Linked DNA regions of Drosophila melanogaster. The protein of the gene in region 2 purifies or fractionates together with the protein of the main gene of each other region. This does not show direct contact. Each region holds a gene or a part of one and is shown on either strand. Other genes may lie near its edges.

Region 1 (5,765 bases), on a different chromosome or scaffold from region 2:
AGACGGGGGATCCTACGTGCGCTGGCTTCGAAAAATATTCCCGCCATGATTACGAATGCGTTTAGTAACCATGTTAACCCAACTAATGAAGTCTGAAAATACAAATGTTATCTTAAACTATACAACAAATGGGACTTACATTTCCAGGGGCCGTAACATCGTTACAAAAGTAGCAACCTAATTGATCGCCATTAATGCACTTAAGTCCTTCGATTTCTTGGCCATCGTCGCCTGCTTCCTTACGCGTAGTGCCATGTCGCATTACCAGATAACTGTCAAAGCCTAAAGCTGCGTTGATGACAATCTATAAGGGAAACATTTTAGGTACATCTCTTCTGAAAGGTGAGTATATGATTGTTCCCACTTTTTCCTTTGCCGCTCCAAGCAGGGTGGGCAGCCAGCGGCTTTCGCGCGAATCTGTGAGCAGAAAGATGACATCATGGTCCTGCACAAGCTTTTCGATAACCTTCAAATGCTCCTTCGTCTGGGCTAGAAGCGATTCTCCAATAGTATGCCCAGGCATGGGAATCTCCAGCACATAACCCGCCGTTTCCGCAGACGGATTGATCTCTTTCAATCTCTGAGCAGCTGTAGTCGCCTTCATCCGATTGCCTGCCACAGCATCTGCATGCGTGTAGAGATTCTGACGCACTGGATTAGAGAACCCAACCTTGCCGCTGTCCAAAAGGGTTATGTGCTTAAATCCCCAGGACTACAAAATAAATAAACTATTAGTTATCAGATCAGTTAAATCATTTCGTATAAAAGCACACCAGCAGATTTCTAGCTACAGCGCATCCTAAAGTACCAGCTCCAAAGAGCAGGCATTTTGTTTGGGAGATGATTTCGAGATTGAGATCGGGAACAAGGCGCCACTTCATTAGTTTCAGGTTCAGGTTTACAGAGTTCTCAGCGAGTCTACGGAAAGAAATATTGTTAAATTATAAATAATAAACAAGTTACTTTCAACTGTCGTGGTAGCTAACACTAAGGACACACCTCAATGAACTGATAGTTCTTATCATTTAAGTCTATAGCTATTAACTTACTTGGCTGGATCCATGCTGTCCCTCATGCACACCATTCTTGGCCCCATTTTGCCATTTTTATTTAGCTCCCAGCCCACGAACTTTATATTTTCGCTTTGGCTAAGATCGCAAGCTTCAGTCTGAATCACCTTCCATACAAGGCTGTCATCGATGTTCATTTGTTGATTGTGTCGCAGGCCAAGAAACTTCAATGGTTTTCCAACAAAAGAGGGACTGTAATAGACCGACAACTGTGTGAACTGATATCATAACATTGCTATTCCTACCTACCATTGCTGAAGCAGAAAGGCAGCATAGTTTCGCATTATCCAAGCTGGATGCTCATACTCGCTGGGATCAGCAAAACCAAAATAACAGAACTCAACATTTTTATCGTCAAGGGAACTTAAACTACGGGCTTCGAAAATGTTCTTCTCCACATTAGCATACAGAATGAAGAAGTTCTGTGACTCAGTGGGTAAGGCCTTTAGAGCCATTATATAGCTACTACTATTGGGCAAGTCCCGCAGTTTTTGGACGGCTCCCTGAAGCTTTAAGGTGGGCGTCAGCGGGCACGGAAAGGCGAACCAATAGTAGTAGCTGTGACACTTTAAATCGGCAAAGGAGAGAACAAAGAACCGGGTCAATAGACTGGGATCTCTCAAGGCGCCACCACTGCACATATCAGCCAGCAGTTCCTTGCCCTCATCGGCCAGCAGTTGTAATTTGTCCAGGGCCTTGAACTCTTCGATTGTGTTCTTATTGTAGATGGTGCCTATAGCGGAATGGCTGAATTTTGGAGGCTTTGCCATTCTGGAATGTGGGTGGTCAAGCGCTGGTTTCATCAAACTCGTAGTTTTCAAGCTCACCTGTTGTAGGCCGTGTAGTCTACTTCCAAAAGGCATCCACTTGCATTACGATTTGTGTAGTGTCCAGTAATGGAGCGTTTCGAGTCGGACAGGCGATCGTGGTCGAGCTTAAGCTCCGCTAGCTTGTGCCAGAAAGTGGGCGACACAAAAGATTCCCACGGAGCAAATTGCAAAATTATCTCTTTTTCCGTGCTCATGTTTTGCTTAGGGCGTTGTTTACGTTCAAACGTTTGGCTGCAAATTATAAACAAACAAAGCTCTCGATGGCGATAGACCAATGAGAAGATAACTTATCGATAAGTACAGTTTTCCATACTTAGGTCGAATCCTCTGTTGCTTTGGCAAACTAAAAGATATACTTTAACTTCATAATTTTTTAAGCTTGAAGAATAAAATAAAAATTTTAAGACACAATAAAACTATAATAATTTTAAGAGTAGAATATAGCTTATTGTCAAGTTACACTGTAGTTCTTGGAAGTGAGATTGTCAGCCGCACTGCTATATGGTCACACCAGCACTTCCACTGCTGACGAAGATTGACCAAAACAGAGACTGAAAGTGATCCAAATAAATTGAAGATGGATTTACAGCAGCTGGAGGAGCAGGCTCGCCAGGCAGCGCTCAAGGACATACAGAACATGTTGCAGCGACCAGGTCAACTGGAGAAGGTGGAACAATATCGCCACCGAATCGCCCGGAAGAAGGCATCCGTTGAGGCGCTCCTTAAGACCGGAATGCAAGGACAGCTGGACGGGGTCAGGGTGGGACTTAAGCAGTTGGAGACCTGCATGCAGGACGTGCGCGAGGTAAGGCGTCGAATGGACGAGGTGGAGCGCCTGCTGAGGGGCGTTCCCGAAGTCTACGACGCTTTGGAAGTTGTGCGGGAGGAAAACACAAAGCACTCCCAGTACGCCACCGCCATGGAGAATCTGAAGCACATCTTCAACGTAGATGCCAGCGTACAAAAGACGATGGCGCTGATCGAGGATGATAAGCTGCTTAATGCCCATCAGTGCCTGGCGGATCTGGAGAATTCGCGGGATGATCTTCTCTACGAACTGCACAAGCAGCCCAAGCAGCATGCGTCCGACAAGATCACCCTAAAGCGTCACTTCGAGAAGGTTGACACGGTATCCCAAGAGCTGGAGAAAAAGCTGCGACTCATTCTTAGCCGCACGCTGAACACTCTGCGCAAGAAGCCCACCATCATCGTTACCGCCCTACGCATCATAGAGCGGGAAGAGAAAAACGACCAGTTCGCGTTGCAGCAGCAAAAGGTCACAGGATTCCTGCCGCCTGGAAGACCAAAGGCTTGGCGCCGCATGATCATGGACGTGCTACAACAGTCGGTGATAACGCGCATAGAGGGATCCAAGCTAGAGGAGCGGGCCGATAACAAGATGTGGTTAGTACGAGACCTGGAGATATTGCGTCAAATCATTCTCGAGGATCTGCGCGTTGTGAAGTCCCTTTGTGTGCCCTGCTTCCCGCCGCACTACGACATTTTCGGCGAATATGTCAAGTTCTATCACGAAGGACTTTCTAGCTATGTGAGTAATCGTCAATCATTTAAATTGATTAATGTTTTTATACCACTAATATTTACTAATTCCAGCTTGACAACATTGTGCGCTCGGGCTTGGAGGGCAATGAATATGTATCAATGATGGCTTGGGTTACACACACCTATCCTGGCGTCGAGCTGATGTCCCATCCGGATCTTAATGTGGATGTACACCGACAGATAGGTACTCTGCTGCGTCCGGAACATCTCAAAGCGCTGGAAGATGAATATCTGCAAAATATGCAGAGAAACTTCCAGGAATGGATGACCAAGGCCGCAGAAACGGAGAAGCAGGAGTGGTTTACTGAGACGGTGCCCGATCAGGATGAGGAGTACTACCACACTTCAGCGCCTGTCATCATATTCCAGATGATCGACCAGCATCTGCAGGTGACCAACACAATTCATCAGGAACTGACGTTCAAGGCGTTGGTAATGAGCATTCAGCAGGTGGAGATCTTTGGCCAGACATATCTTAAGAACGTAATCGAGCTGAAGGAACACCATTTTCGCAATCGGGACCAGATCAAATACTTCACTCACTACATCATCACCATCGTGAATAACAGTCAGCAAATGGTTGAACTGGCGCAGCAGATGAAACAACTCTACTGGCCCAAGTCACGTACTGAGCATTATGAGGATTTCGAACGTTTGCTTGCCACATTCCAGCGGATCCGGGCTCATGCCGCAAGTTACTTGCTGGAGGAAGCCTTCCTGGACATGGAGTGTCACTTTAACGACCTATTCACTGCCAAGTGGCTGGCCAGTAACATTGCCGTGGACACCATTTGTGTAACGCTGGACGATTACTTCCAGGACTATAATCACCTGCGACCCAATAACTTCGAGATGGTCATCAACGAGGCCCAGAAGCTGCTGGCCAAGCGCTACATTAGGGCACTGCTATCCAAGCGACTGTCTAAGCCACGGGCCGAGTGCGATGCCATTACGCGAAAAATCAAGACCGAAGCCAAGCGGTTTAAGCTCTTCTTTGAGAAAATCGCGCCGAAGATTTCCCTCAGCGACTCTCCATTGGATCTTATATCCACGCTATCGGCACTGCTTAGCTCGGATATCGAACTGCTCGTCTTGGACCTGCACACCTTGCTGGGCAGCTATCCGTCTCTGAACGAGGACCACCTGGTACGGCTCTTTTACATTCGCAACGATGTGAAGGCGGCCGAGGTGCGCGAGAAGGTGCAGGATGCCATGAAGTCGAAGAAGGCAATGGTCAGCATCGCCAAGCAGGATTGCATCTTCAAGGAGATCGTGTTCAGCGACAAACTGTGGTAGACCTTGGAGTATAGTTCCCAACCCATTCCGCATGTCCCTTTCTGTTCAGTATCGTATTTACTCTTAAGCTGCGATTGTAATATTATTGTGCTTTATCAACAAATAAATTATTGTATAAATAATCGAAGAAGTTCTAAGGAAAGTAAGAATATCCATCGTTTCAATGCATATATGTATCGTTACTTTTGAAGGGTTCCGTTTTCTAGCCGTTTAATAGCTAGAGCTCCATCACTGTCGGCGAATGTAGTGTTGTAACGGTCGAAATATTTAATTACCGGCTAGGCGATAACATCTGGCAGGAGTATATATATTCGCGACGGTCTCTCTCCACGTGTCAGTCAGTTCCCAACGATCCTCCTACCCAGACAAGATGAGCTACAGAGTCCAGCCGAGCGGCTTCGCCACCAAGTCCATCCACTCGGGCCAGAGCCCCGACCAGTGGAAGAGTGCTGCCGTGATTCCGCCGATATCGCTGAGCACCACCTTCAAGCAAGATGCACCGGGCGAGCACAGGGGCTATGAGTACTCCCGCAGTGGAAATCCCACTAGGAACGTGCTGGAGACGTGCTTCGCCGCCTTGGATAATGCCAAATACGGCCTCACGTTCTCATCGGGATTGGGAGCCACCACCGCTGTGCTAACTATGCTGAGCAGCGGCGATCACATCATCATGGGCGACGATGTTTACGGAGGCACCAACCGTTTGATCCGACAGGTTGCCACCCGTCTGGGAATCTCAGCCACCTTTGTGGATCCCACGAAGTTGGATCTAATTAAAAGTTCCATCAAGCCGGAGACCAAGTTGGTGTGGATCGAGTCACCAACTAATCCATTGGTAAAGGTAGCCGACATCGAGGCTATTGCGCAGCTGGTCCATGGAGTACGCGAGGATATCGTCCTGGCCGTCGACAACACCTTCCTGACCTCCTACTTCCAGCGACCCTTGGAGCTGGGCGCTGATCTGGTCTGCTACTCCCTGACCAAGTACATGAACGGTCATACGGAT
Region 2 (7,151 bases):
TTCGAATTTTCAGCGGTGTTTGCTTAACTTGACCAAAAGTATCAATTTGTTGCTCCCTGAAATATTATATTTTTTAAATTGGAAAATTATGTACTAATTTTCCATCGGCTATATTGTATTGGAATTGTAAACATAAAACACGCCTGAAATATGTCGAATGCGCTCTAATATTAGCATGTAATTAATGTTCATAGCCTAAGTGATGAAGTGCAAATTGCAAATAAAATATGTATATGTTATGTGTAAAATTAAAGTGTAATTACTGAAACTGAGTAGTTGGAACTGCGACCTAAATAAAAATAAGGGTATTAAAAAGCGAACATTCTTCAATAATGTTATTGTTTGGCTTTGACTATGTGGCAACACCGTTAGCTGCGGCAACAGCTGATCGTTTTCAGAGTTTAATAAACGTGCAAGCTGAACAATACAATCGGAAATAAGTGTTTCTAAACAGAATACAATAAATTAAGCATTTATAATGGCAGGCCGCGGAAGGGGCGGCAAGACAGGCACCCTCACGGCGGAGCAAATGGCCATGTTGGGATGCACAAAGGATATGCCGGTGCAGACGGCGCCGCCACCTACATTTCCGCCTGTTTTGAACAGACCCACTACCCTAGAAGTGGGTACAAATCCATTTACATTAGTTTAAAAAACATCGATCAACTTTTTACCTGTTTTACTTCGATAGACAACAGCCACACAGAACTATCAGCTCCTGTGGAAGGAGGACTTTCTGAACCGAATGCGAGATTCCCCCTATTACATGATCTCCGCCAGTCGGGACGCAAAAAACCTTGATCACAAGGACTGGCGAGAAGTAATAATACTGGCTATTTTAAATTAGCTGCTTATAATCCTGCTTTTACACCCCCAGAAAGCCATGGAGCGCATGAAGCTCACAGCACAACCCGATTTTAACTACAAAGCCATGCCCCAAGAGCTAAACATCTCCAGTCGAAAACGTCGTGGAGCAGATGCAAGGCCGAATCTGCTGACCAAGAAGACAAACATCGAGGACAGACTGAAGGTTCTGGAGCAGAAAGAACTGAAATCAGGTGGCGGTGAGCAGGACGAGAACAAACAAGAGTCCGATTCCGAACAGGAGGAGGAGGAAGATCCGGAGGCGGCGTTGGATGATGAGATGGACGAGGACAACGACTACGGTGCAACGTACTTTGATAATGGAGAAGCCTTCAATGATGAGGACGACAACTTGGACGATGGTCCCGTTTACTGAGACAAATAAAACCATCGAACTGATTACTTTCGGATCTGTGATTTACTATGTCGCCACTTTAAGCTTATTTAACACAAATGTTGGATTAATTTACACGTAAGGGAACGCTGGCTTAGTCCAGGCTCTTGGGCGCGTAGTAGTTGAAGTGGATGATACCAGAAGATTTCACCTGCAAAGCGTATTTCAATAAGACCGATATGGGATGGAAGGAATATGGCAGCCACTTACGAATCCAATAGTGCCGGCCAGGACGAGAATGCCAGTGATGAGCGCGGCATTGTACTTGGCGTTCTTCTGGCTGTGCTGCTCCTTCCAGTCTCCAGCGGGCACGGGCAGATCGTTCATGGTGGAGTGGGGACCATGTCCACCGTGGTAAGCGGCACGCGACAAAGCGCCAGCTGAAATGAGAGAACAAGAAAGAATATTCAAGTGATTGGTTTTAAAAAGGGGGTAATCCCAACGAAATGCAACTTGGTTAATGATCTCATCCAAGTTTCTTCCGATATCTGTTTGGCTAATTCTGATAATATCCATGGCTATGCTGAAGATTGGTGGGTGAACCATTCCTTCGCAGTTCCTTGAAGTTTCTCCCTTTGCTTATCCACATTATGTAATTTTTAAGGTTAGCAGTTTTGCTGAAAAGAGGTGTTGGGCCACTCCAACTCACCGTTCTTGAGCAGAAGCCCCTGCTTGACAATGTGCTTAACCAACATGATTGCTCGAAAGTAGCTGGAAATGGGTAAATATGGGTTTATTTTCACTGCCAATACTTTTTCGCATTATAACTCACCCGAAGATTACCTTGTGTTGAACAGTGTGACCGTTGTGTTGTTATAGAATAATATCTACCCTACAGTTGGGATGAGATCACGAGCTGCATACTTGTTATTACCTACGATGCGATGAAACCTTCAATGTATCTATTATACTGAAATGTTTAAATAACAATATGATTTAATACATTTTAATTGGTTTCTGTAGTCTTAGCATATTTTTGCTATGTGACTTTTAACCACGTAAAGAACACTCACGCAATGCGCTCATCCCCAACCGATAGTCTGTAAACGCCTCTGCAGAAGCTCTGTTAAATCAGCTGTTGGTGCGGAGGCGTTCTCCAATTGCTAATTGCAAGTGCAAACAACTGGCCAGTTGTTGATTCTTGAAAGGACTTTATTCGAGACCAGTGCATCCCGAAGATATACCCAGCCATGCTGTCCATTGGCGCTATGGCCAACATCAAGCACACGCTGCAGAAGGAACTCTTCTTGGCCTCCGGAGAACGCCTCCTTTCTGTGGTGACGGTGGTCAAGAAGAAGGACAAGAAGCCGTGCTACCTTTGCGTTGTCACCACGGCGCCACCGGTACCCGTGGTCACTTTGTGCCTGATCAAACAGTCGGAGCAGCGCGAGGGCGAATACAAGCGCAAGCGGAGCTGGCAGCTGGACGAGATTAAGTGGGTTGACGGCCGGAACGAGCAGTTCGAGACGCACGAGTTCGATCTGCAGTTGGAAAAGCTGTACAAATGGTACGCCCTTAACCCTCACGAGCGCCAAAACTTTCTGGCCGTGCTCAATCGCCAAATCCAAAAAAGCGTGCGTGGCCAGCGGGCGGAATTCCGGAATGTGCCCGCAGCGTGGTTGTCGGAGAAGTCGCCGGAAAAGGTGGCATTGGGCAGAGCGGTTCAGAAGACGCAACACATGGACGACGAGGAGGACGAAGAGGAGGAGGCCCAGGAGTTTACCGCTCTGACGGACAAAGAGGCCAATGAGCTGGGCAAACTTTTCTCCGAGTGCGACTTCGCCATTAAAGATGCTGAGCAGTTCATAGAGCAGCTGTCGCGTGAGCTCCACGATTTGGATGGGGTTAGTAAATTGGGCTTGTCCACCGTGTATACATTACTCATAATTTCTTATCTCGCAGGCCAATATGCAAAGTGTACTTGCCTCGGAACAGAAGGTTCTGAAAATGATGGAACACATCGACAATGCTATCTCCGAGGCGGATAAGTTTGAAAACCGTCTTGATAGCTACGAGGACATTCTGGGGCATGTCAAGGAAACCATGGAGAAAATTGGAGGCAAAAATGCCATGATCGAAATTGCCAACAATAACAATATCAAGCTTATGAAGGAGCTCAACAAAGTCATAGTGCGTATTCTTAGTGTACTCAATTTTATACTGTTTAATAATTCTGCTACTTCTGCAGAGTCAACTGGATCTGCCGCACAGCCAGCAGCAGGCTCTGGATGAACCCGATTTAAAGACCGCCAATGGACGCAAAGCAGCCATTGCAGCTGCTCAGTGCCTGCAACAGGCAATGAACAGCGATATAGATCCTGCTCTGCTGCGTTTGGAGGCGGTGCAGGACCAACGCAAGCGCTTTGAAAAGTGGAAACAAAAATTCTCTGCCACGGTCAGTCGGTTTATGAACAACCTCTTCATCCACCTGGGCAATGAAATAGGAGACATGCAGGTGACTAGCACTGAACTTACGCTGCCTAACCATTCCAACGTCCATCGGGAACTGACGCCTTATACTGAGCTGATGCACTGGACAAAAGCCATGGATCGGAAGACCTACGATGGTCTAATGCGTGTGTACACAGCATCGCTGAGCAAGATCTATGACAGGGATGTGAGGAACTTCTTCAATTTGGTAAGACATGAACATGGAAATGTAATAGTTTGTAATCTAAGCTAATCTCGATCACTTCTGATTATTTTATAGGCTAAAATTCAGGTGACGGAAAAGCTTCGTAATTCTCGGGAGGATCTGGACATGTCTACGTCTTCAAGAAAGTCCGCAGTTTCCACAATACCTTATGGCACACTGGGAATCAACAGGGATCAGTGGGGTCCCGGTGTAGAGACAGCGGATCGAATGCGTTTTGATGCATTGTTGGAAAAGGTTCTAGCTGAGCTGGAACCCATCGCCCTGCAGGAACAGCTTTTCTGCATCAACTTTTTTCAGATGGACGTTATTAGTCCAACGACAAAGAACACACAGACTACGTTGGAGATGGAAAAGGCGGTGGATATGACACAGTCAATCATATCAGGAGCGGTTTCGCCATCAGGTGATGGTGTTCCGCAGAAGCGGATTGACCGTCAAATTAACGAAGATGTGCGTAAACTGATGATGGGCCTTTTCGGTTGCCTAGAACCAGAGCTAGTTAGCTTCATCCAGAGCTTTGAGCGTGTAGACAGCTTGTAAGTAAACAATATAGTAATGGAGTAAGGAGTAATTAACAAATTTGTTTTCGTAGCTACTCTCTGTACGTTTTTGTGCGACTTACGCAGCACGTCATGTCCGCCCAGGACACACATTCCTTTCTTAGCATGACCTTCGCTTCCGCCTTGGTGCAGGTGAAGCGGAGCTTCGACCGCTTTATGCAGAACCAACTACTGTCTATCCGGGAGGCAAAGCTGCACAAACGTTCTAAGGCCATTCTGCCGTATGTGGAAAACTTTGAAAACTTTGCCCAAACTGCAGAGGGCATATTTCGGAAATCGGATCGCCGAACGGACATGGAGAAGTGGTACTTGCAGCTGGTGAATGCCATATTTGAGGGCATCCAACTGCATTCGCAGGAGCACCCCAAGACACCAGTTCAGGTAGTGCGCATGGAGAACTACCACCACATGTACGCTTTGTTAGCCCAGCTCAAGGTTCCTGGTCTGGACGCCCTGAAAAAGGAGGCCAAGAAGTGTTATAACGATGCGCTAAAAGCGTATGTGACTCAGTACTTCGGCCGGCCGCTGGAGAAACTGAATGTAAGCCAAAGTCAATGACCTTCCAGAAGAAAAGATAAGTCGATCTTCATCTCATAAATTTCCGTTCTGCCTTTGCAGCAATTCTTCGAAGGCGTGCAACTTAAGGTGGCCCAGGGAGTCAAGGAAACGGAAATCAGCTACCAGATGGCATTCTCCAAGCAGGAACTCCGCAAGGTGATCGCTCAGTATCCTGCACGAGAGGTGAAGAAAGGACTGGAGAACCTATATAAGAAGGTGGAAAAGCACCTGAGCGAGGAGGAGAATCTGCTGCAAGTGGTATGGCATGCCATGCAGGAGGAGTTCATTGCCCAGTATAATTACCTGGAGGAGCGCATCCAAAAGTGCTACGCCGGCGCCATGATCAACCTGGAGTTCAACATTCAGGACATACTCGCCTTCTTCTCGGACATAGCGCGCTCCCACTGATCTAGGGATTGGAATCTGAAAGTCAGGGAGCGGTTCAACCGGGTTTTATTTTTAAGTGCAATAGTATTTAAAGCGCTGTTTCTGCTGATTGCAAAATATATGGCGCGTATATTTAAACAGATGTGGATCTGCGAATGTTCGAAACGTCCAAGAGAGAGGGATCGCGTAGTGAAAAATCAACGAGACTAGGCCTTAAAGGGAACTTTTCAACAGCTAGCCATTGAAGTTGATTATTGTATAAGTTCTAAGCTAAAATTACATAGCCAATACTCAACTTTTGTCCAAGAATGCGAGTAAACTAAATTTTATATATAAAAATGTAGAATTTCTAGAGATCTTACTTGATCTTTAGTACGTCAGCTTTTAAAAATCACAGATAGAAGTTTGACTTTTTGTATTTATACTTTTATAGTATAACTCTAATTTACTACCGTGCACATTCAAACAGCCTCCTAAGGTCAAAGAGAGCTCTTCAAGATCAAAAGAGATAGATCATAGCCTAAAGAGAGAGAGAGAGAGAGAGAGTGCTCGAAGAGTGAGCTTTCCGGGGTGGCTTTTCGTTCGCCAGCCGTTGGAGTTCGGGCTGGTGCTCCCAGTCAAGCCGCGCGACTCTTTCGCATCGGTTGTCGCCTGTCCGCGTGATTTACCCAACTGCAGTATAAGCATTTTATTTCGTGTATTTTAAATTGTTCTAGCCGTACGTGTTTCCGTGTGTGCTCATGTGCCGTGTTGATAACTCCGTGAAATGCAAATGGTAATTGCAAATGGCAAATGGCAAACGGAAAATGGAAGAAGCCGCAACGACTTGCGACTGAATGTGGTGCATATTTTATGAAGCTCCGACAGGGAGAACAAAAAGTTAGACTACCGCCGAACCGATCCGATCCGAACTGATCCTCCCTCCTGTCTGGGCTGTCCCATAAACATGGCCACCATAGCGACCCGTCCGACCAGTTTCGTGCTGTTGTGCGGTTGTCGCTCCTGACTCGGTTCTCCCTACCTTCCCGTGACCCCCATCCCCATCCCCGTCTACATTCCCATTCCCATCTCCTCCAGCCGTTCCATTCCTTAGCTTACCTTAGCCTGTCTTGCCCTCCGCCTTGCATTTCTCATGCACACACGTTGCCCGCTTTTTGTGCTTTTCGTGCGCTCCCGTGCTCATGTTCTTCCACTTTTTCGGCAGCCTGTAGTACAGTGGATGCCGGTTAACGGAAGACATTTACATTTTAATGCATGTTCGACATGGAAAACTAATCGGATACGAAACGCATACAAAAAGACTATTCTTTTTAGGACCTTAATGAGATGCAGGAATACTGAGTCTTCAGACGGCTTTGGAAATTTAATAATATAGGTTTCTTAGATAATCATTTTAGTTTTCAAAATCAATAACTCTACTTCATTTTAGGTTCTTTCATAACAAGCTTATATCTACAATAGTTTGGGATCACTCGGCATAGCTCTTTGCGTTTTTCAAGCCAATTTCCACTGTTTTTCTTTCCTCGCAATTCCTCTTCAACACAACTGCCTTTTGTTTTAGCCTTAACTGGCGGTCATCACAGTTGCTCTTGCCGTACGTATATTTTAACGAAGTTTCGCTGAAACCTGGCCCACCTTGATAAGCACCTGGAAAGTCAGTTGGTCGCGATCGTCTGGCAAGTTCAATGCTATGATATTGGCGCTGCATTTTCGACTTCCGCTATAATTAGCT
Region 3 (6,407 bases), on a different chromosome or scaffold from region 2:
AGTATTACGTCAGGTGTGGCGCTCCTGTGCTGAAGAACTGGTAGAACAAACGCTGTTCGTCCTGGCAAACATGCACCAAAAAGGCGCAGGCGCTTCGGGTGAGAGAGCAGTGATCCCCTTTGTGGGCCACCTTAACGTTTTGTATGGACAGATTCACTGCTGGCGACATAACGCTGGCTCTTTGCGCCAAGTAGTGCTGTTGAAGATCCGCCATTAGTTGGGCGTAGTCGAGGCTGTGTTCCGACCGGGACTCAATCAACTGGGCGACCCGCTTCACTTTTGCCGCGGCCGTTTGATATTTGCCGTAGTACAGAGCGAATGCGGCATCTGGTGCCTTGAGAGCAGCGGAGGCATCCGGCATATTGTTCTTGGGATGGAGCGTGGCCTCGGTTGCCTGGTTTATCACACTCGTCACATAGTTACGCACCAGACCCGAGGCTTTGGCCAGGCACTGCCTGTACTTCACATTGTAGGCGGCCGCATCCTTGAATTTGGGCTGTGACAATGAAGGATATTAGTATATACATGACCGAAGTGTAACAGACAAGCTCACATTCTCCTCGATGTAGTTTAGGCATTCGTCGATCTTGTTGAGGCACTCCCGGAACGCTTCGCTAGCCACCGAAAGCGTGGGGCTCTGAAGTCGTTGGTTGAGCAACTCCACCTGGCTGAAGTAGTGCAGACGGCGTTGAATCTCGTGACTCAGCTCCTGCAGTCGCTCCTGCTCCTCGATCAACTGCTCGCTGGCCGTGTTCAGAGCGCTGGTCTTTTGCGACACAAAGTCGTACTCGTCGCAGAGGGCACCCAGGCGCTCCATGGCCCCAGCGATCTGGTCCAGCATGTGGGAGCACTCCGCTTTGCGCTGCTCCAGCTGCTGCAGGTATTTGTGGTAGTCGGCATCGCCACGTTGCTCGATCTCGGCGCTGACGTCCGCGAACCAAAGCAGAAACTCATTGGTGTTCTGGAGTCCCTCCGCAGGTAGTCTGATGTCATCGCCGCTTTGCGAAGTTGCAGCTGCCGATGAATCGGTAGGACCCACCTGGGTGGGCGTAGTCGGTGCCGGTGCCTACAAAGAGTCGGGTTGCAATTATACGATTGCCATTCGAGGAGGAGTCGACTCACCGATGGTCCGCTGTCGCGCCACAGATTGGTCAGGACGTCCAGGTGCTCCTCTTGCTGGATACTCAGAGCCGCCAGCGGGTCCGTTTTGGACTCCCATTGCATCAGGCGATTGCGAATCTTGCGCAAATTCTCATTCTCGCTCTGAATTCGTTCGACGTCATCCATTTTTCTGCGGCGGATTTGGAAACAATCAATCAGCTGTTCAGAGATGACCGGTCTGCGCCTTCCAGTGCTGCTCAGCAAGGAGACTTAGCTAGAACTAAAACTCTTGATTGATATAAGTTGCCTTTATTTGAATGGTATCATATGTTAAGTAATCTTTAATTTTAGATTTAATACATTTTAAGCTCTTTTTATGCTCGTCCGTTTCTTACATAAGTTTTATATTAAATATCTGTCTGTTTAGCTTGGCGATTACTTAGCCAAGATTTCACCACTGACGGGACGTTTTCCATCACTGGCAGCATCAATAAAGTTCTGTTCTCTATTGTTTTTATTGCATTTTGATCAGTTTTTCCGCATCATATAGCATACGATGGCGCCGCAGCCAGTGGTTACGGGGCTATCTCCGAAGGAGGGTCCTCCTGGCACCCGCGTTATCATTCGCGGCGAGTTCCTGGGCACCCGAGTGCAAGATCTAATTGGTAGGCGTAGCCTGTCCCAAATAGCTTCTGTTTTCTGATGACTTTCCCTTCCAAAAAAAAAAAATGTAAGGTCTAAAAATCTGCGGTTCAGATTGTCTGCTGTCGGCGGAGTGGAAATCACCCAATAAAATCATCGCACGCACTGGTCCGGCGAAGGGAAAAGGCGATATCATAGTGACCACTTTAAGCGGCGGAGTGGGCACGTCCACGGTTCAGTTTCGTGCATACCACGAGACCATTGGCCCGCTCAAGGAGTCCGCCGTGTGGATCGAGGAGTCGCCCTCGCAGAATTTTGCCTGGGGTCGGCGCACCCTAGCCCAATCCGGACTGACGCAGGAGGATCCACTTGGGCTGTCCATCGAGGGTAACGAGCAGAAGATCCCCGAGGACCTCCGCGATCTCTTTCCCGAAGCCTGCGGGGATCTGTCGCAGGAGCACTTCTCCCCGGCCTGGTTCCTGCTTGAAAATCACCTGGCCACCTCCTTCGAGGATCTCAAGGCGGGCCTGTCCTACTTGAAGCGGAAAGTGGAGAGCCAGAAGGAAGGTCAGTTGTCCTTCCTCAAGTCCAATGCAGGCTCGGTGATTGACCAGCTCGATACGCTGATGAACATCCGAGACAAGCTGCAGGAGGATGTCAAGCTACACGGCAATGAGACCCTAAATATCTTGGAAACATCCATAGAGAGTGAGTGGGGTTTATAGATTAAGATATTTAATTCTAAAATTGTTCGACTTATAGACTCCATTAGCGAATCGCAAAAGATATTCACGGATGTGCTGGTGCGCAAAGAGAAGGCGGATTCCACGCGGTCCGTTCTGTTCGCCCTGTCGCGGCACAAGTTCCTCTTCTGTCTGCCCAATTCGGTGGACAGACGTGCCAAGGCGGGTGAATATGACATTGTGGTTAACGACTACTCGCGCGCCAAGAACCTCTTTGGCAAGACGGAGATTCCCATTTTCCGCAAGGTGCTCGAGGAGGTCGACCACAGGATTCTGTCAATAAGGAAACAACTGCACGAGAAGGTGGTCAAGATGCCACAGAGCGTGGAGCAACAGAAGAAGCTCATCAAGGCGCTGATCAGTCTGGAACTGCAGCAGAGCGGAACTCCCATTGGCGATAAACTGCGCAACATCGATCCCGCCTGGGATGCCATCGAGGCCAGAGCCAAATATCTGGAGTGGACATTTCGCCAGACATTTGATCAGCACACCAGCAAGGATTCGGGTGCCCAGGAAAAGGCAAAGAACAGGGATTCCAGCCAGGCGCCCAATCGGGTTAACTTCTGCGAAGAACTGTGCGACATTGCCGCCTCCCAGCTGCCGGACTTGTGGCGTCTGGGCCAGCTATACTTCACCGGCGAGCTACGCGGACCTCATGATCCCAAGCCAGGGGATTTCAAGCGAATGGTTTTGAACGCCATCGAGAAGTTCTGTGTCTACTTGAGGTTGGCCATTCTCATTGCCACGGATCAGCGCGCCCTGCGTCAGTCCAGCGGCTTGGCTTGGCCCATCGGCTCCGCATCGGCAACACATCAGTTTCTACCCTGGATTCCGCAGTGCCTGCGTTTCACGAGGATAGCCTATGCCACGCTCATCAGCCTGGATCTGCCCTCGGAAGCGCTGGACATCATACAGAAACTGATCGATGAGGTGCGACTTTTCTGCTTCTCAATTATCTTCAAACGGGCCACGGATCGGTGCAAAAAGCTGGGCAGCCAGGAGACCTGGGAACTGGGCGTGGAGGAATATCCAGGTGCCACATTGTTACCCGCCGCCTTGGAAACATTGCTCATCGAAACGCTGGACGAGGTGCAATCTGTGTGCATGCAAAGGGAGACCCGGGAGGGCAATCTCCTCGAGCCGCAGTCGGATGGACAGAGAGAGGTGACACAGCGACTACAAGAATTCCTATCCGCGTTTAGCGCGGTGATCGAGGAGCTGGCCTTCCACTCCCACGACGAGGAGACGCCCACCCACAATGTGTCGCAGCTACTTGGATTCCCCAATGCCCAGCAGCCAGATTCGGTGGCTGGAAGCGGCGGAGCAGCGGCTGTGACCTGGGAGCAGCGCATGCTCTGTTGCCTGGCCAACTATGCGTACTGCAACAAGATCTTCTTCCCGCGCCTTGGTGACATCTTCGTTCGCTACGGTTACCCGCTGCCCACGCTGGCAATCGAAACTGCTCGCTACACGGTTAACCAGCTCTTTACCAATCTTCTGGAGGAGTACGTCGAGCATAAGGGCGATCCGCTGGTCGGCACCATCGAGCCCTCCATGTATCTGGGTCGTTTCCAGTGGGATCACGAGATGGAGATCGGCCAGCTGCGTCCTTACGCTCACGAGTGCTGCGATAATTTGGTTGGTGTCTACTCCGAGATCTACAGCATTTCACCGGCACTGCTGCGACCCATCCTGGAGTCCATTGTGCAAACCATATCCGAAGAGCTGGCCCGTCTGATGAGCTGTGTCCAGCGCTTTAGCTTCACGGGAGCGATTCAGGCCCACGTGGATATCCGTCTATTGAGGGACTCCCTGGAAGGTTACGTCAATGAGACTGCCAAGTGAGTGATCTAAATGAAATACCTATGAATTTCAATAATTCTTCTAATCTGCAAAAGGAACTACTTCATGGAAGCGCTGGAGGCCATCAATCCGCCCCTGAGTGGCGAGCAGAAGCGTAAGGCGGACGAGATTCTGGAGCGGGTCAAGCGGAACATGCGTCTGCAGCTGCTCTGCTTCAGTGTCAAGGACCCCTAGGCACATTCCACTGCAGGGCGCAGCCCATGTAGATAGCGTATACTTTAAGTAGCTTGTGATTACCCATGTTCTAGGGATAAATCTTTATTCGATTGCATAACTCTCTTACTTACTACCACGACTCACAAGCCCAACAGCTTTGGGTCAAAGTTGAAGTTGTTCTGAGCCATGGTCTTGATGACCTGCTCCACATCGATGGTGTTGAACTTCTCCTGCACACGCTGCTTGATGGGGTTCTCGATGGCGTCCATGATCTGGTAGCGCAGCAGGTTGGGAATGACGTTCACCGCAAACTCCATGACGTAGTCCAGCGTTCCCGCTCCGTCACATCGCACCTGTATGTTGCCCATGTCAAACTGCAGATCGGTGATCTGCGCCCGCTTGCGTGTGTCCAGGGATTGGCTCAGGCCAACGGTGGCGCGTATGTGCTGAACCGTAAATTGTACGTGACCGACGCGTGTCATCATGCCCACACCCACCTCCCACTGGCCGGCTCCCGTCACCTGCTGGGTGCCTATTTGCAGAACGACCGACACCGTTTTGTTGGCCATGCCAGCGGTTATGTTGCCCACGCGGTAGAAGCTAGAGATTCCATTGATCCAGGTGTGTGCTAACTGGACACTGAACACGCCCATGGTGCGATTGACATCAGGCAGGTGGTACGGATCGAAGCCCTTCTGCCGAACCATCTTGCGTGCCATGGCAATGGCGCTGTCCAGCGGCGTTATGGAATTGGGCAGTCGGCGTTCGCCCAAGGTTTTCTGGATCATTACGTTGATCTCGCTGCGCAGCTTTTTGTCCGCCTCCTGGAGCATAAATGGCTTCATGGCGTCGAAGACCAAGTTGGGCGCACCGTTCACCACGCTCTGAAAGACACTGCCCACCAGGCCGAGGTTCTGGAAGTCCATTGTCATGTCCGAGAATGTGATGTCGATCTTGATGCGGTCCGTGGCCAGCTGACCGTCTCGTTCGACGGCCAAGAAGGCGGTTGCCTCGGCATAGACATTCTTCAGGACTACTGTAAAGGGTCCATTGGCTTTCGAAAAGAATGAACTGAGGGTGTACTGGCCCTTGACCAGCATCTGGTCCAGCTGGAGGCCACCGTTGAACTGCAGGACAGAGGAGTGGAAACTTCAAGCCAATTCGAATTCAACTTGAAAACTTACTCTCATTTCCTTCAGGTCTAGGTTCATTTTATCAATGCGGAACTTGGACAAGCCATACGCCTTGACCTGCTTCATGTCCAGATTGGCCATGCCCATGCTCTTCTTCACATTGGGCACCTCCAACGGATCGGGCACGGGCACGCCGGGCAGACCCTGCGGATCCTCCTGCTGAAAGTGCACGAGCATGGCCTCCACCTGGGCGGCTATGCTGGCCTGACTCTCTTTGATCTTAAGTGCGTCATCCGACTCGCTGGCTTCCTGCTCCACAGCTGCTCAAAGGTCATTAATGAGTGGCTTAGTTCCGGTAGAGCTCAGACTGGAATTCGTCTTACCATCGCCAGGCTCCTGGGAGTGAACAATGTGGCAGCCACTTGCCATCAGGCCCACGAGCACGACCACTATCAACGGCTTCATCTTTCGGGGATTAGCTGGAGCTTCTGCTTATCAGTTGGAAAATGGAAGAAAACGCGCCAGCCTCCGTTCTCTACTCGGAACAAACACGCACTGTCGACTGGCGCGTTAATCAAAAGATAATGATGAGCCGCAGGCGGCGATCCGCTTATCTAAGGGCGACTCTGCTCGCGGAGCTGCTGATTAAACTCGGAATTGAGATTGAGTGACTTAAGTGAGCGGAAGCGGCCAGCACATTGTAGGCACTCATGGAACTCACTCCACTCCCAGGAACGATGTTCTAGAAATCATGAACTAGCAGCTTGCA

Evidence for each region.
Region 1: the proteins of Sec3 (region 2) and Sec6 fractionate together in Drosophila melanogaster (co-fractionation; one study listed by BioGRID). This does not show direct contact.
Region 3: the proteins of Sec3 (region 2) and Sec5 purify together in Drosophila melanogaster (affinity purification with western blotting; one study listed by BioGRID). This does not show direct contact.

Annotation. Positions count from the first base shown.
Region 1 is NT_033778.4:18,622,866-18,628,630, forward strand, and holds Sec6 (secretory 6), read left to right. Parts: upstream 1-2,383; 5' UTR 2,384-2,477; coding exon 2,478-3,449; intron 3,450-3,514; coding exon 3,515-4,759; 3' UTR 4,760-4,853; downstream 4,854-5,765. Other genes in the region: Atg7 (Autophagy-related 7), read right to left, coding at 140-304, 365-712, 774-918, 1,050-1,262, 1,320-1,841, 1,898-2,094; CG5335 (uncharacterized protein), read left to right, coding at 1-65; Cth (cystathionine gamma-lyase), read left to right, coding at 5,130-5,765. UniProt on the Drosophila melanogaster protein: Component of the exocyst complex involved in the docking of exocytic vesicles with fusion sites on the plasma membrane.
Region 2 is NT_037436.4:17,420,397-17,427,547, reverse strand, and holds Sec3 (secretory 3), read left to right. Parts: upstream 1-2,330; 5' UTR 2,331-2,448; coding exon 2,449-3,102; intron 3,103-3,160; coding exon 3,161-3,388; intron 3,389-3,446; coding exon 3,447-3,896; intron 3,897-3,968; coding exon 3,969-4,450; intron 4,451-4,506; coding exon 4,507-5,014; intron 5,015-5,092; coding exon 5,093-5,440; 3' UTR 5,441-5,761; downstream 5,762-7,151. Other genes in the region: Polr3G (RNA polymerase III subunit G), read left to right, coding at 479-622, 692-820, 878-1,240; COX7B (cytochrome c oxidase subunit 7B), read right to left, coding at 1,353-1,409, 1,469-1,638, 1,908-1,953. UniProt on the Drosophila melanogaster protein: Component of the exocyst complex involved in the docking of exocytic vesicles with fusion sites on the plasma membrane.
Region 3 is NT_033779.5:3,455,749-3,462,155, forward strand, and holds Sec5 (secretory 5), read left to right. Parts: upstream 1-1,553; 5' UTR 1,554-1,657; coding exon 1,658-1,766; intron 1,767-1,836; coding exon 1,837-2,451; intron 2,452-2,505; coding exon 2,506-4,327; intron 4,328-4,384; coding exon 4,385-4,523; 3' UTR 4,524-4,619; downstream 4,620-6,407. Other genes in the region: Cog3 (component of oligomeric golgi complex 3), read right to left, coding at 9-496, 554-1,066, 1,123-1,287; CG3246 (uncharacterized protein), read right to left, coding at 4,646-5,632, 5,690-5,958, 6,022-6,103. UniProt on the Drosophila melanogaster protein: Component of the exocyst complex involved in the docking of exocytic vesicles with fusion sites on the plasma membrane.